2 linked regions of the Arabidopsis thaliana genome follow. The protein of the gene in region 1 interacts with the protein of each later gene in a pairwise test. Each region holds a gene or a part of one and is shown on either strand. Other genes may lie near its edges.

Region 1 (9,310 bases):
ACTATATATTTACATAGGACTTTCAAAAAAGTTATTATCTTATTAATTTATCGATGTGTTACACTTTTTACATTGGTCCTAACTTGGGATCTGGTGAATTTATTAATTTATAGAGGTTACTAATTTATCGAGTATTAATTTATGGAGGTTTAACTGTAAAAAGAGTTGAGGTTACCATTGCAATAAAATATGAGACAATGTGTAGAGGAGGATAAAAGATTGAACAAAAAGAAGAAAGCCAACTAGTTTTTGTCAAAAGGATAATTTTCCATGTGCATGCAAGTATGCAACCACATCAAAATCATAAATAAACATTGTCTAAAATGTTTCTAATAAAAATAGATGTAAAGAAAATTCATCAGTTTAATAACTAGGGTTTAAGAGATATTTACAAATACTAACCATTAACATCATATTTAATATGACTTTGTAAAATCTATGATCAAATAACATGCAATTTTTTTAATATGTAAAATAAATTATCTCAAAATATTTGATTGAATATATACCCTTTAATTTAGCATTGATTTTAAAAATCCAACAATTTTCTATAGTATATTTTGTAATAATGTTATTGGTTCCTAAAAAAGATGGTCACATCATTCATTAAATAAAATGAAATAAAGAAGTGTTTCCTTCGTCGCATTGAATAAAATAAAGTAAACCTTCCAAAGACTTTTCATTGTCTTCGCCTGCGAGCGCTAAAATTATCTCCGAGCATTCTCAAGTTGGGTGATTCGGTACGGATTACTGATTTGGGAGAGAAAAACCCTAGATTGGAATTAGATTCTGGGTTCTTGGGCTAAAGGTTTCTTCATCTCCTTCGAATCATCCTTTTGTAAGTCCAGTGGATGTGAAAACCCAGTACTCACTGATTCTTTTTATTAGGAATTTTGTAAGGTTTTGGGTAGAGTTTTCACAGTTTTGATGATACTAAAATGTGGGCCACTGGGTCTAGAGAATGAAGAATCTTGCTTTTAGTGACAAAGGTTGTTCCTTTGGAGTAGTAAGTGAGCAAGATATCAGAAAAACTGAACCTTTAATCTCAAGAATTTACTTTGATTGGAGCTTGTGAAGTCCTTGTGTTATTGTTGCATGATGTTTTCTTTGAGATAACTTGGCAATGTGTGTTTGGTGTTATTGTAGAGGGAGCAAGACGATGAGTAGAAACCCTTTCCTGGATCCTACTCTTCAAGAAATTCTTCAAGTGATTAAACCCACACGAGCAGATAGGGATACGAGGATCACAGTCATTGATCAGTTGCGTGACGTCTTACAATCCGTAGAATGTTTAAGAGGTGATGACTCTTGATGCACTTTTGTGCTTCTCCCATTTTTCTTACTGTCTAGTACTGCCTTGAACCATACCAGCCATGGATGTGATTATGATATTGGATATGAAAGTGAGATACTTCGAGCTTTCAGTAAGGTAATATCTGCTGGAATTGTAGCTGCAGAATAGTAGAAGTGGTTCATGTTACTCTTTCGCACTATTCTCGTTCTGGAAACAAATTATTTCATGTGATGCTTATAGCCGCTCGTTGTCTGGTTCTGTGATTGTTAGGTGCTACTGTTCAACCATTTGGATCCTTTGTGTCAAATCTCTTCACACGATGGGGAGACTTAGATATCTCTGTTGACTTATTCAGCGGTTCTTCCATCTTGTTCACTGGAAAGAAGCAGAAACAAACTTTACTCGGACATTTACTACGAGCACTGAGAGCGAGTGGTGATTCATTTAGCTTCTATTTTTTTCTTCTTTTTTTGGTTTTCTCTTTGCTTCACTGTTGTTTACCTTATATACTACTTAAGTAGTTTAAGTATTATTTCATGTGCCGATTTGTCTCACATCCATTATCATTCAAAAAACAGGTCTATGGTACAAACTGCAATTTGTTATTCATGCGCGAGTTCCTATTCTGAAAGTAGTGAGCGGCCACCAGAGAATTTCTTGTGACATTTCTATTGATAACCTGGATGGGCTTTTGAAGAGCAGGTTCTTGTTCTGGATCAGTGAAATAGATGGGAGATTCCGCGACCTGGTTTTGCTAGTAAGTTAACATGCAAATAAAACCATATTGTGTGTTTCCAAAGGTTTAATTGATTCTAAACGTATCTACCTCGTGTATTCTACATTTGTAGGTGAAGGAATGGGCGAAAGCTCATAATATCAACGACTCAAAGACCGGGACTTTCAACTCTTACTCTCTCAGTTTGTTAGTCATCTTCCATTTTCAGGTAAGATAGCTGTTCTGTATTCATAGATTTTGCTGCCTTCAGCCTTCTGCAGTTACTGCATCATTAGAAACCATAGTAAGATGTTCTATGTTGTTTGTTGCAGACTTGTGTGCCTGCAATCTTGCCGCCTCTAAGAGTGATATATCCGAAGAGTGCGGTTGATGATCTGACAGGTACGCTCAATGAAAAGGTTTTGAAGCCAAACCACACAAAATATATGTGTTTTTGGGGTAAAGGGACAAAAGTTTTAGCGGTATGGTGTCTTGTAGGTGTACGGAAAACTGCAGAGGAAAGCATAGCGCAAGTTACTGCTGCTAATATTGCGAGATTTAAATCAGAGAGAGCAAAATCAGTCAATCGAAGCTCGCTCTCGGAGCTGTTGGTCTCTTTTTTTGCAAAGGTGATTGATTTCTCATACATTCTAGCTTTAATTTTTTTCCCTTAATAATATCCACTAAAGTGCTCTTGATAGAAATTAGTATCTTGATTTTGCTGTGTGGCTGTATCTATCAGTTTTCAGACATAAACGTGAAGGCCCAAGAGTTCGGTGTTTGCCCGTTTACTGGAAGATGGGAAACTATAAGCAGCAACACTACATGGCTGCCAAAGACATACTCACTCTTTGTTAGTCTCTTTCTCTTTCTTTCTCTTAACCTCTTGTTGAGTTATATTCATCTCTATGGCACCATGTGAGTCTCCCGGCTAACATGTGGGAATGGTGTGTGTTTCAGGTTGAAGATCCTTTTGAGCAGCCGGTGAACGCTGCAAGGAGTGTGAGCCGTAGAAATTTGGACAGAATAGCTCAAGTATTTCAGATTACATCGCGCCGTCTTGTCTCAGAGTGTAACAGAAACTCCATCATAGGGATTCTGACAGGGCAACACATTCAAGAGTCTTTGTACAGAACAATAAGCCTCCCAAGTCAACATCATGCAAACGGTATGCACAATGTCCGTAATCTGCATGGTCAGGCTAGGCCACAGAACCAGCAAATGCAGCAAAATTGGTCACAGAGCTACAATACCCCGAATCCACCACATTGGCCACCACTAACACAATCCCGACCACAACAGAATTGGACTCAGAACAACCCCAGGAATCTTCAGGGGCAACCACCTGTCCAAGGCCAAACTTGGCCTGTAATCACACAAACTCAAACGCAGCAGAAGAGCCCATATAAGAGTGGGAACCGACCATTGAAAAATACATCTGCTGGTTCAAGTCAGAATCAGGGCCACATTGGTAAGCCATCTGGTCATATGAATGGTGTGAACTCTGCAAGACCTGCATATACGAATGGTGTGAACTCCGCAAGGCCTCCATCAAAAATTCCAAGCCAAGGCGGACAGATCTGGAGACCGAGACATGAGCAGTAGAATGAGGTGTGCAGACATGGTTCAGAGATACTCCTTCACATATTTTGGATGATTTTGTATTCTGACCTTGGGGCTTTTTTTCTATGGATCCATTCGTTACAATCAACAGATTTGCAATAGCAGAATGTTGTTACTAAAAAATGAGGACGAGGTAAACTTTTACTCAGTAAAACACCACAATCAAATTTACAGTTACATTAAGAGAAAAAAGAAGAAAACAATAAGAGATATACTACCAAACAAAATATATTGTGTTGACTAGTGCAGTAACTTGTGTGGTATTAAGCTCGAAGGAGACGCTTCTCGCATGTTAGAATCCTGTAACTTGCGTGAGGACCCTCGGATGTGTCACGCAGAGAAGTATGCCAACCCATGGCCTTTGTGATTTCTTGAATTTCATCCATAACATCAATTGAATCCCTAATGTATGCTCTTCCACCGGGTCTTAATATCCGGTCCATCTCTAACAATATGGTTGACATCTCACATCTGATAATATTCAGACAAGACAAATGGTTAAACTCAACTATAGGCACCACACGATCATAGATTAAAAATTTATAAATCACTTTGAACTTGAGTTACAGATAATGATGCTTACCTTTTTCTCTCGATCGAGAAGAGTCCAGAGGCATGTAAGAAGTCATATGTCCGTGGGTATGTATCAAATGGTTCACACCTGAGGTAGAATGCATCACTTATTAAAAAAATATCCAGAGCCAGAGACTAAATCTTAGTTTACCTTAAGACACATAAACAGATGAACTTTTGTGTTTAAAAAACATGAACAGAGAAAAGGACAAGATGAATCACTAATTTCCAAGGTTTCAACTATAGGATTCCAAATTCTGATTTCATATGACAGATTCTAAGGAGAAAACAGTACCAATCGTGCATCACTCCTAACAGTCCACGGTCATAAATGACAGGCAATGTGTTAGGCCCACTGACAGGAACCACGCTTAGAACCCAGCAATCGAGTTTATGATCATTTAGTGCAGCTGCAAATCTGCCAAAGCCAAAGGAATAAATGAAGAGAGATAAGCTAAGATACCTGTATAATACCTAACAAAGAAATATTATTTCATACCCGCCAAAGCCTGCTCTCATGTCCAAAACATTTCTTAGTTTCATCTTTTTCCATTTTAAGGCGCGAACATAGCCCCCAATTATTTCATTCCAATATTTTGATTCTGCCTTGAATAGCTCTTTCCTAGCAATGTAGGAATCAAATTTTATCGTCTGCAGCCTATCAGGTGGAGTATGCAGACGGGCAGGCCATAAGGGGACGTTTCCTCCGTACCCTTTCTCAGGTATGCGACTGATGCAAGGTTTCAGATTTGTGTACCTAAAACAACAATAAATCAACATGAGGCATAAAAAATGTGATATTTTGCACACATTGTCACAGACAAGTTAACAGACAGACTAGATGCAATCAAAACAAATCAAATTGAAAAAAAGTTCTGATGCAACTCTGACAGCATTTTAAGAACATGTAGCCTTTATTCTTCTGTTGTTATGCTTCCACATGCAGGTAGCAAGATATGGCCTTGTATCACAAACAAAGAAAAACAGAAAGATTAGCAGCTGTACCAAACATTATCGGGATCATCTGATTCATCACAAAGAGGAGGTTTAGTCCCAGCCTCACGACTCAAATAGCAGTCGTTGTTGAAAGGCTTCTGCCAGATTGCAACGTATCCTTCCTTCTTTACCAATTTCCAGCAGAGGCTAATAGTAAGATTCAGCATTTCTGGAAAACAAAATGTGAGATTAAAAGAGTACACATATTGGCTGAATCAAAGTAGTAATAAAGAAAAAAAAAAACTCTCCTTAAACCCACAGAGACAAACTGTAGTAAATAATAAAGCCACGTACAATGATTACTAACTCCAAAAAGTTTATTAAGACCAAAGAATTTTATCAACCCTGAATTACAGGCCTACTCAAAGCAGATTAAAAGGATGTTACCTGTCCATTGTTCTTCCAAAGCGGGTTCATGCTTATAAACAGGCTGTGCAGCCCAAGCAAAATATCCTCCAGCGCGCAGCATTCTATTGATCTCAAGGAGCAAAATTCCATCTTTATCACAAAGAATGAAACAGCAGAGTGAGAATTTTCTGTACAAGTAATAAAAGCTAGAGCATAGTTCACACAGGGAGTTAAAAATTACAGTAGGTGCAATCTTAATCTTTTTCTGATGTATTAGGTGAAGAATCAAGCACACCATAGAACCTTACCATCACGAGTCCAGTTGATTCTACATCTTGAACAATGAATAAGATCAAAAGCTTGGCTTGGATATAACAAACGCCTTGTCGCAAATGCTGCCGCCATAGCAGGCACACCACGCTCAAGAGCAAATTGAATTTGGTTCTCATGGACATCTTTTGGTGCAACAGACATTGTCATGACATCACGAGACAATAGATAAGCACCAAAACTCGCCACACCACAACCAACATCCATAGCAACCCTAATATGCTTGCCAAACGTAATATCAGAAACCATCTGCAGACACAAACTCCAGAGCTCAACATCAGATGAAAAGATACATAAACAGTTGACGCGAAAAACAAGAACTACTACTTGGAAAAATGAGCCACCTTAGACATCTGGTCCAAGTACTGATCAGCCCCATGAATAAACTGTGTACCACCTCCAGGAAACTTGAACTTGTTCTTGTCTCGTGAAATCCAGTTCTGACCTCCTTTGTCTTCAACAAGCCGAGTATGAGGAACATTGCTAAACCATACCTATCCATAAGTAAATTCCAAATACTACTTAAACTAAATCCCAAGACATGTTATCCAACCAAAATGCAAAACTCATGCAAACAAAGGAGTACCTCGTCACGGCTTTTAGGCCATGGAATCGGCTGACGGTAACCTTTAGGAGGTGGAACTAAGCAATTCAAGCCTTTACCTTTCTCAGGACAATGACGCTCGAATCTCTCACCTCGCTCTGTCGATTTAAGCTTCTTTATCACATCAGTATTATCCAAACAAGGTATATACTCTCTCATACTCTCAGGACACATCCCAAATTTCTTAATTCTAACCCTAGCCTTAGAATCACCGTCGCTTTTCGCCTCAACGATCTCAGTCTGATTCCCCCAATCTTCCACTGTATCACTCTCAACCTCACCCACCTCAAAATCGTCAGACATCACACCGTTCGCATCAACTATCCCAAAGCTCTTAACCGGACCAGGCGGAGGAGGAGGTGAAGGAGAAGGAGGTGGAGGAGGAGGAGGATTAGCTTCCACCTTAACCTTCTCCGTGTCCGCCACCACCGACGGAGGTTGTTGTCGTATTGTGGCGGGGATTTCAATCTGGGTATGGTTAGTAGGAATTATCGCTGATAAATTAAAGACTCTGTTACTATTCGGTGAAACGGAGACCTCCGGGATCGAGCTACCGGAAGTGGAAGAGGAGAAGAAGACGAGCTGTTGGTAGCCATCGTCGGACCAATGCTTGCCTAAGTAGAAGAAAGCGACGGTGACGAAAACTAAGGCGGAGATCTTGATCAGAGTTGGGGATTTGAACAGATCGCCATTAGTGAGAGGCTTCATTAGCTTGCGTGTGAAGGATCAGCGATCTCTGGATCTGCGTAGTGTTGTTGTGTGAGAGAGGATGATTAGTGTAATTTTACAGTTGTTGCTTTTGGATTTTTCTGGCGTTCGGTAAAATTATCACTACAGAAGAATTTGCAGAATTTAGTTAAAAGATCAGAAAGTTGCAGAGAGTTTTATATAAAAAGGGTCTTTTCAATAGCATGTCTTGTTAAAATCTAATTCAGCAAAAAAAAAAAAAAAAAAAAAAATAGTACATGATAGTTTGTTAAACGTTATCGGCAAATGATGAAAAGATTTTACTAAAAACTGGTTTTTTTTAATCATGTGATTGAATATAATCATATTTATAAAATATTTATGTTAAATGTTCTTATGATAAAGTGCGATGAGATTCTAATAGTAATAAATATTTGTTTTACTATTAAAATTATATCACACAGTGCGGTTCAGTCTTCATGCAAATGAATATAATGGTTGAAGCGAACAAATCCGTATACGGATTAAAACGTTTTTCATTTACCTAAAAAATCATTGTAAACTAACAATGGATTGTTTTTACATACAAATATAATTGATTTGTAGCGGTTTGTTGTCCATCTTGTAGATGAAACGGACTAATCGCAAACGGATTTGTCCACCTCGACTGCGATAACCATTCAAACAAGATTGAAAAGAAAGAGAGACAAAGGTTTAAATGAAATTAAGAATGTACAATAATGTTGGCTTATGGTCGTTGGACACTACTTTCGAGCCCATTACATTTAATATCCTTTAAAATAAAAAATAAAGAAGGCGAAAACAGTTTCCCCCAAATTCTCATAATTTTCACAAACAACCTCTCGTCTTCTAGGTTAATCCAATTTCGTCGATTCATGAAGTTCACAATTCTCCCATCGGAAAATTCTTCGTAATCGACGACGAAGAGATCATGAGTACCGTCGGAGGTATAGAGCAGTTGATACCTGATTCCGTTTCAACGTCGTTCATCGAAACGGTGAACGGTTCGCACCAGTTCACGATTCAAGGTTACTCTCTAGCCAAAGGCATGAGCCCTGGGAAGTTTATACAGAGCGATATCTTCTCCGTTGGTGGATACGATTGGGCGATTTACTTCTATCCTGATGGGAAGAACCCGGAGGACCAGTCCTCGTATATCTCTTTGTTCATCGCTTTAGCGAGTGATTCTAATGATATTAGGGCTTTGTTTGAGCTTACGCTTATGGATCAGAGTGGGAAAGGGAAACATAAGGTGCATAGTCACTTTGATCGGGCGCTTGAAGGTGGTCCTTATACACTTAAGTATAAAGGAAGCATGTGGTAATTGCTTCGTTTCCATTTCATTTTGCTGTTGTAGTATGATATAATCGCATTTGTTAGGTTACTGTGGCTTGTTGCATTTAGGTTTTAGTAATGTTGTTTATCTTCTGCTTGAATTGCATGTTGATAGTTTATTTTGCAGAAATGTTTGTGGTGGAATGAGCTGCTAGTGCTTCTCTGTCAGAAGCAATTAAGGAACTTTATCAATGTGTTTGTGCTTTTGTTTGCTTACGGCTAAAATTGTGTAAAGCACAAGTTTTTTTAATTGTATGGTTCATATTGTTCTTTCTCTTTCTTTAAAGTATGGCTTTTGAATCCCTTGAGAGGTTTAAGGTGTGTGCATGTTGCTTTTGAAGTTTCGTGAATCTTTTTTTGAACTCTTGCATCATCTGTTGATTTCATATATTGACTCATTTCCTTGAAAGTGAGGTTTCCTTCTGGAAGTTGGTGTTTTCTCTATCATGACTTATCATCACAAATTTCAGGGGTTACAAACGCTTTTTCAAACGATCAGCTTTAGAAACCTCTGACTACTTAAAGGATGATTGTCTTGTCATCAATTGTACTGTTGGCGTTGTTAGAGCCCGACTCGAGGGTCCAAAACAGTATGGCATTGTGCTACCCCTGTCGAATATGGGTCAGGGATTGAAAGACTTGTTAGATTCTGAAGTTGGTTGTGACATAGCTTTCCAAGTCGGAGATGAAACATACAAAGCTCACAAACTGATTCTCGCGGCACGCTCCCCAGTTTTTAGAGCTCAGTTTTTTGGACCAATTGGGAATAACAATGTGGATAGAA
Region 2 (7,202 bases), 3.7 Mb from region 1:
CTATTTGAAGTGTTAAGAGTTTTTATAAGAGTTGAAGATTTTCATCCAAATTCATGGATCATTTATTGAATATTATTGACAATATCAATTTTTTGGATGCGAAAAAACTTATCTTTCTTTGAGTATGTCACATAAATGATCGAGTGATTTGGATGTAAGAAAATTAATTAGAAACGTTGGTTTTACCTTTTTTTGGCCGAGATGCTTTATTTCAAGAACAGAAATAGTATGGAATATAGTAAGAGAAATTGAGTGATAATACAAAAAATGTTACTTGAAAAATTTAGTTTACATAAGGGAAAAAAAAAAGAGCTCAGAGGTGTGGCATATCTCAACTGATAATTCAGAAAAATGCAAAGGACCCACCCAATGCTTAAGCCAATATCATCATAGCTTAGTGCACCAGCCGGGAATCGAACCCGGGTCTGTACCGTGGCAGGGTACTATTCTACCACTAGACCACTGGTGCTTATTGATTCTATCTCTTCTAGTTAATAATTATCTCTAAAATTAAACAACCTTCACACACAAAGTACGCACCACCACAGGATTGAAAGAGAACGAGAGAGCAAGCCATTGCAGGAAATGGCGATTCCAGTGACGAGAATGATGGTTCCTCACGCAATACCATCGCTTCGTCTCTCACATCCAAACCCTAGTCGCGTTGACTTCCTCTGTCGCTGTGCTCCATCAGAAATCCAACCACTTCGGTCTCTGCTCTCTCTTGTACTATTTCGAGTTTACGTTGTTCGAAACTGAGAACTCATTTGTCAAAATATGTTTGCATTTTCCTTTAGGCCTGAACTCTCTTTATCTGTCGGAATTCACGCAATCCCTCATCCAGATAAGGTAACACCAGACCAAAGTCTCTGTTTTTCTTCTTTGGATGTAATGAATTTGGATTTGCTTAGAGAATATTTATGCAATTAAAATCGACATCTAGTGTCGAAATTATATAGGTAGAGAAAGGTGGTGAAGATGCTTTCTTTGTAAGTAGTTATAGAGGTGGAGTCATGGCTGTTGCAGATGGTGTCTCCGGGTAAGCTTTAGCTTTTGGTTATGCTAACTTTTGAGTTTCTTTGTGGGTTTATCTTAATGTTGATAAAGTTTATATTTTTTTCTGTCTCAGTTGGGCTGAACAAGATGTTGATCCTTCCTTGTTCTCTAAAGAACTTATGGCTAACGCTTCTCGTTTAGTTGATGACCAAGAGGTCAGATATGATCCTGGTTTTCTCATTGACAAAGCTCATACCGCAACTACTTCTAGAGGTTCTGCCACAATGTGAGTGAGATTTGATTGTTATTCTCTTCAAAGATTGGTTTTTGTTCCCTTTTTGGATAGCTTGATGTCCCGGTTATTGATGAAAGCAGTATTCTAGCTATGCTTGAGGAAGTGGGTATTCTCAAAATAGGCAATGTTGGTGACTGTGGACTTAAGCTTCTTCGGGAAGGTACTACACTGTAACCTAAGATGCTAGATTGTTTTCATGTTCAGCCTTTGACAAAGATCTTCTTCTTTCATTCTCATTTTCAGGTCAGATTATTTTTGCCACTGCTCCACAAGAGCACTATTTTGACTGTCCTTACCAACTAAGCTCTGAGGGGTCTGCTCAAACTTATCTAGATGCATCGGTAAATAAATCCTTACCACTCTTCATGATTTGTGCTAGTATTGTACCTTTGTATCATTTTTTTTGCATTTCAAGCAGTTTAGCATAGTGGAAGTACAGAAGGGAGACGTGATCGTGATGGGTTCAGACGGACTTTTCGATAATGTGTTTGATCATGAGATCGTTTCTATAGTGACCAAGCATACAGATGTTGCAGAGTCATGTATGTATATGTATATACCATCTCTCTTGATTTTTAGTAAGTTACATGTTTTTTGGTATAACCATTACAGCAAGGTTATTAGCTGAAGTGGCGAGTAGCCATTCAAGAGATACAGAGTTTGAGTCTCCATATGCATTAGAAGCAAGAGCCAAGGTAAGATTTTTAACTTGATCTAAGAATGAATTTTACCAGTTCACGCAAAGTATATCTGAATCAACGTATATGTGCAGGGGTTTGATGTTCCTCTCTGGAAGAAGGTACTAGGAAAGAAGCTTACAGGTAAATAAACAACAATGTTGATGCATTATCCTGACATATTATACTAAACAAGAGTAGTTTCTTAGTTGAGATCTCTGGTTCTGAAAATTGCAGGAGGGAAGCTTGATGATGTCACTGTGATCGTTGCCAAAGTTGTTAGCTCATGAATCACTCTGTTCATGATAAGATCTTCTCTTTATTCTTTTTGTACAAGTCCTTGTAAGAAACTTGTTCTTCACAGAAATTGATAAATGGTATTTCAAAGTTCAAACAATAAGAATCGAATCTTTATCATTGACCTTGTGAATGGACACTCTTTAAGCTCATCTATCTCTTTATAGTATCTTTCTCATTAAAACAAATAAAAGTACAAAATTTCTCTATCAATGCAAACCAGAAAAAAGGCCTTGGGGTTGTTGTAACTCTAATCTGATAACATTATTGCGTGAAGAAAACAAATAAATTATACAAACAGAGATCTTCTCTAAGAGCTAGTGTTAATACTAACCAACCAGTAGCTAGCTCTATGAAGAATCAATGACCTGAATCAGGCAAGTAAATTATGCCAAACGCATGTATGTTTGTGTCTTTTCAAGCTGCGTTTGCTTCACCATTGAGATCTTGAAAGAAAGATTTGACTGTTTCATAAGTGGACCAGCAAATCGCAGCTGCTGGAGCATGGAAGAGCATTCTTGGTAGCCATCCTCTAGCAAGTCCTCTATAACCGTCTTTCTTCACTATTGTACGGAACACATCGCTTATTGAACTGCTCTTGAAACGGTCACAACCACACACACCCTGAAACATCACCACAAACAAACTTCTCAGAACAAACAAAACAACCCAAATCCTATGAAATAGCTATTGACCAAGTATTCTAAACCACAAATATAGAAACATTATCTATGCGACTTTCACATGTAAATTCAGTAATATTAAGTTTTATGACCATAGTTCTAACAATGCTTGATGCAATCTACATGTTACCTATAAAATCATACTCGTGAAATCACAAAATATCCAAAGAGAAGAAAGAAGATATCTTTCTTCATTCAAGTGATCTATAGGATCAAGAGACAACTACTTAAAGTAGCTTGGCCAATCTATAACCACATTAGCTATCAGATACTTAAAAGTCAGTAGCTTTAGAGATATTTCAATCACCTGACATTGCAACTGCGTCTTAACAACATCAAGCGGAGTAGTTACAGCAGCCGCTAACCCACCAGCCGCAGCTCCAGCAGTAGCATAAATCAACCAACCTTCCTCATCCTCTGCTCCAACAGCATGCTCAGGCAACATCTCCCTCAAACCTCTCTTAACCGCCTCATAAGTAGTGAAATGCACAGCGGTAAACGGAGCATTCATCAACACAGTAGTTCTATACGAAGCGTAAAAAGCACCAAACCCTTCCTCACGCGTTACTCTCTTGATACAATCCCAAACTCCTTTATAAGTTCCATTCCCAATTTGCAACCTTTGCTTAACCATATCCATTGGAGTAAACACAGCATCACTAGATATAGTAGCGAAAACACCGGAAATAGCGTGTGCAGCAGAGTTATTAGGGTTTCCACCGGATAAAAACTTCTTAGAGACTTCATAGAATGAGAAATAAACAGCGTGAGCTGGTCCAGCACCAAGTCCCATAGCCCAAATACCTCTATATAAAGCAGAAGGTCCATCGGTTTTGATAATTGAACGGAAAGCTTGACGGATTCCGATTGGTTTAATCGGACATGAACGAAGAGCTTGCATATGGGTTTTGACTGTATCTACTGGAAACATAGCCATGTGTTCGACTGAGCCAGCGATTGAACCGGCGACCATTAGTTGCCAGAATTTAAGAGTTGTGTTTTGAGCTGGAACGATGATTGCTGGATGAAAATCCGGTGGTTGTGGGATTGGACGGAGATCGGATTCTGGGAATTTGGTTGTTGCTTCTGTTGCCATTGTTTAGAATTGATTGAGAGAAAGGTTTGAGCTTTTAGGGAGATTAGGAGGAAGATGAATCTGAAGGAGGAGAGGTTTGGTTAAATTAGGGTTCCGAGAAGATTGGAGAAATGACCAAATCTGGAGATTTCTCCGACCAGAGAGAGAGGATGCGGCGGTTAAACTAAAGACAAAGCATGGGAGAAACCTCTGCCTTGTCTTGTGGGCTTTAACATCTTTTTCCCCAAGTAAAAATATATTTTTTGCCTTTTTACGTTTTTGCCTCTTTAGTGTTTTTTACCAAAACAAAAACGTACTTTTTTACTTTTTTTTTTTTTTTAAATCGTACTTTAATTTAAGCGATATGAACCTAACCAAAAAAACTTATTAGATTATGTTTATATTATGAATACGAATATTATTTTTTTGTCATCGTAAATTTTTAAAACTTTGGTAGAATTTAAATGTACACAAGTGGAAAAAAATTTATCCCTTGAAAACTAATAAGTGTTATCTATATTATTAATTGAGAAGTATTGTATGAACTACAACATTGTAAGGGTAGTTTAAAATTAAGTAAATGAATTTTTGCATGGGTAGTTTAGTAAATTAACAATCACTACAACAAAATAAATATCTTGGATTTTGTTCTTTTAAAAAATCGACTTTAAAATCAATATATTCATAATTACCCAATCCCTCGATTTTTAAATATACAAATTATTTTTAAATATATTAATCCAAGATGTACCACATGTCAATCCCTCGATTTTTTTATTATATTACAATAACAATATTTAAAATAACAAAATAATTTTTCATTTTACGGAATGAAATTATATGGTGGGATGAGTTTGAGTTGATATTAATAAAGGACGATAATCTACGAGTGAAATTTTAGAATTAATAATTATAACATAATTATATATTCTTAAACATTAAACAAAATAAACAATATTTACAAAATAACTATATCTTAAAATTTGAATTTTTAGTTACAAAAAAATCGACCAAAGGTGTACCACGGAGAAAATTTTACATTATATCATCTAATTGATCAAATTTCAAACAAAAACAATCAATTTATATATACATCAAACTAACAAAAATACACAAATTTTCTAAATATCTCTATATTATTCTACAAATCGAAACAAATCTAACAATCTATTTACTATGCAAAATACAAATAAAATATAAATAATATAAATTACAAAAAATAGCTATTTTATCATAAATAACACTTTACACTTTTTATGCATATTATAATTTATACACTATAATATCTTTCACTAAAAATATATTCCAATACATTTTTAAAAATATGAAACCCCGCACGTATACGTGCGGGTCAGAATCTAGTTATTTATAAACCGATAATTCTTAAAAACGAAGAACTCAAATCAAAAATAAAGTAAAAAAAAAATTGTCCTAAAGCATTAGATATCAAGTAAAATATTAAATTTACTGCAAAATATGTTAAAATATTGGTAGATAAAACATGAGATGTGTGAAAATCATTCCTATTAAGATCAGATTTTAGAATTTTATGCAGAATTGGAGTATTTTCTCTAACAAACTGAATAAAATCTTTACAAATCTACAGCTACAGCTTACACTTACATCCAATATTCTACAGCAAATAATCTACAGCTATAGTGTAACCAATCAGCCAGTAAGCTTTACCAAAATCAATTCATTTCATAAATTATTTTCTATATTTGTCTCCTCACAATTCATTTCCAAAGTCAAACAAAAATTAGGCACACACGAGATTAAGCTCTACCAAAGAGTCTAACAAATGAACTTATAAATAACAGTTTTACAAACAATCTTAAATCTCTACAAAGTTTGAATCTTTAACAAACTTATACAAATACTAATATAGACTTGAATCATTAACAACAATAGAACTCACACGATCTTAGTAATATCTTTAATGAAAGCATCGATGTTAGCATCAGAAGAACCACCTTTCGCAACCGCTCCACGACATATCTCACTGAGATCACAAGTCCTTCTTCTCATCTCTTTCCCTTCTTCACTCTCTCCATCCATAAACCTTTTTACCAATTCCTTGATCTCATCACTCACTATCAACAACTCCATCTGCTTCTTCCTCTCGATCCCCATTCCAACTCTCCACTCCTCAACAATCATCTTAGCATTCAGAAACTGATCCCAAAAAACAGGAAATGTAAGCAACGGTACTCCCGAACATATCCCTTCCAATGTCGAGTTATACCCGCAATGCGTCCAAAACCCGCCTATAGCCGCATGACACAAAACACGTAGCTGATCACACCAGCTCACCACAACACCCAAGCTACCTTCAAGAGCCTCCTTAAGCTTTAACTCACCCCCACGAGCCACCCAAAAGAACTTAACTCCAGCCTCTCTAACTCCTACAACAATCTCCTCCATCTGAGCTTCGGAGACTGAAAGAAAACTCCCTTGAGATATGTAAAGAACAGAGCTTTCAGGTTGCTCATCAAGCCACTTAAAGTAATCAAGTTCTCTATTCTCATTTCCAACGGATAGTTCTTCCAAGGGTATTAACGGACCAGTGGAGTAAACCGGGAAATCAAACTTGGAAGTGAAAAAGTCAATGGCTTTTGGTTCGAGCTCATAAGCAGAAGGGAAGAGAAGATACTTAGCTTTATAAAGCTCACCGAAAGACTTTTTGAATATATTGAAGACTTGATGACTATAGCCGTGTAAGATCTGTAAGTCACTGAGTCTTGTCGGAGATAAACCGGGGATGTAATCAACAATCTCGTCTAGTTTTGATTCTGGAAACAAACCCGGATTCAGAAATCACTAATTATGGATGAAAGTATTGAACTTTACGGTTTTGATCAGTAAAAATGGGAACTTTGTAACTACCTGATGGTTCGATCGGAAAATGGCCGTGACTTGCGAGAAGATCGGAGTTAATGAAGAGGGAGAGAATCGTGGCTGACGTAGTCCAGAAAGAAGCCACCGGAATATTCCTTTTTGTGCCTACACGTACTGCCCAAATGATGTAAGTATCGGCGATGATTGCGGTGGGAGGAGAGTTTAGACGGTCAAGTAGCTGTTCGAACGGCTCTTCTAATCTGGTGAGGACGGCGTCGATGAAGGCGATGAAGTCGTTGGCTCGGACGAGCTCGGAGGGAATGATGTTGGGGAGAGTGGCG

Evidence for each region.
Region 2: the proteins of AT2G39750 (region 1) and AT2G30160 interact in a protein complementation assay, tested with the Arabidopsis thaliana proteins (one large-scale study listed by BioGRID).

The regions. Positions count from the first base shown.
Region 1 is NC_003071.7:16,575,091-16,584,400, forward strand, and holds AT2G39750 (S-adenosyl-L-methionine-dependent methyltransferases superfamily protein), read right to left. Parts: upstream 7,347-9,310; 5' UTR 7,192-7,346; coding exon 6,466-7,191; intron 6,374-6,465; coding exon 6,224-6,373; intron 6,129-6,223; coding exon 5,858-6,128; intron 5,700-5,857; coding exon 5,589-5,699; intron 5,371-5,588; coding exon 5,211-5,370; intron 4,963-5,210; coding exon 4,705-4,962; intron 4,624-4,704; coding exon 4,501-4,623; intron 4,294-4,500; coding exon 4,216-4,293; intron 4,104-4,215; coding exon 3,896-4,103; 3' UTR 3,734-3,895; downstream 1-3,733. Other genes in the region: HESO1 (Nucleotidyltransferase family protein), read left to right, coding at 1,160-1,298, 1,565-1,729, 1,873-2,051, 2,143-2,238, 2,342-2,411, 2,508-2,638, 2,752-2,862, 2,970-3,614; BPM3 (BTB/POZ/MATH-domains containing protein), read left to right, coding at 8,123-8,511, 8,997-9,310.
Region 2 is NC_003071.7:12,874,858-12,882,059, reverse strand, and holds AT2G30160 (Mitochondrial substrate carrier family protein), read right to left. Parts: upstream 4,262-7,202; 5' UTR 4,045-4,261; coding exon 3,256-4,044; intron 2,890-3,255; coding exon 2,683-2,889; 3' UTR 2,399-2,682; downstream 1-2,398. Other genes in the region: PBCP (Protein phosphatase 2C family protein), read left to right, coding at 586-710, 798-849, 960-1,039, 1,130-1,282, 1,372-1,451, 1,535-1,632, 1,710-1,833, 1,904-1,986 and 2 more; AT2G30150 (UDP-Glycosyltransferase superfamily protein), read right to left, coding at 5,938-6,815, 6,910-7,202.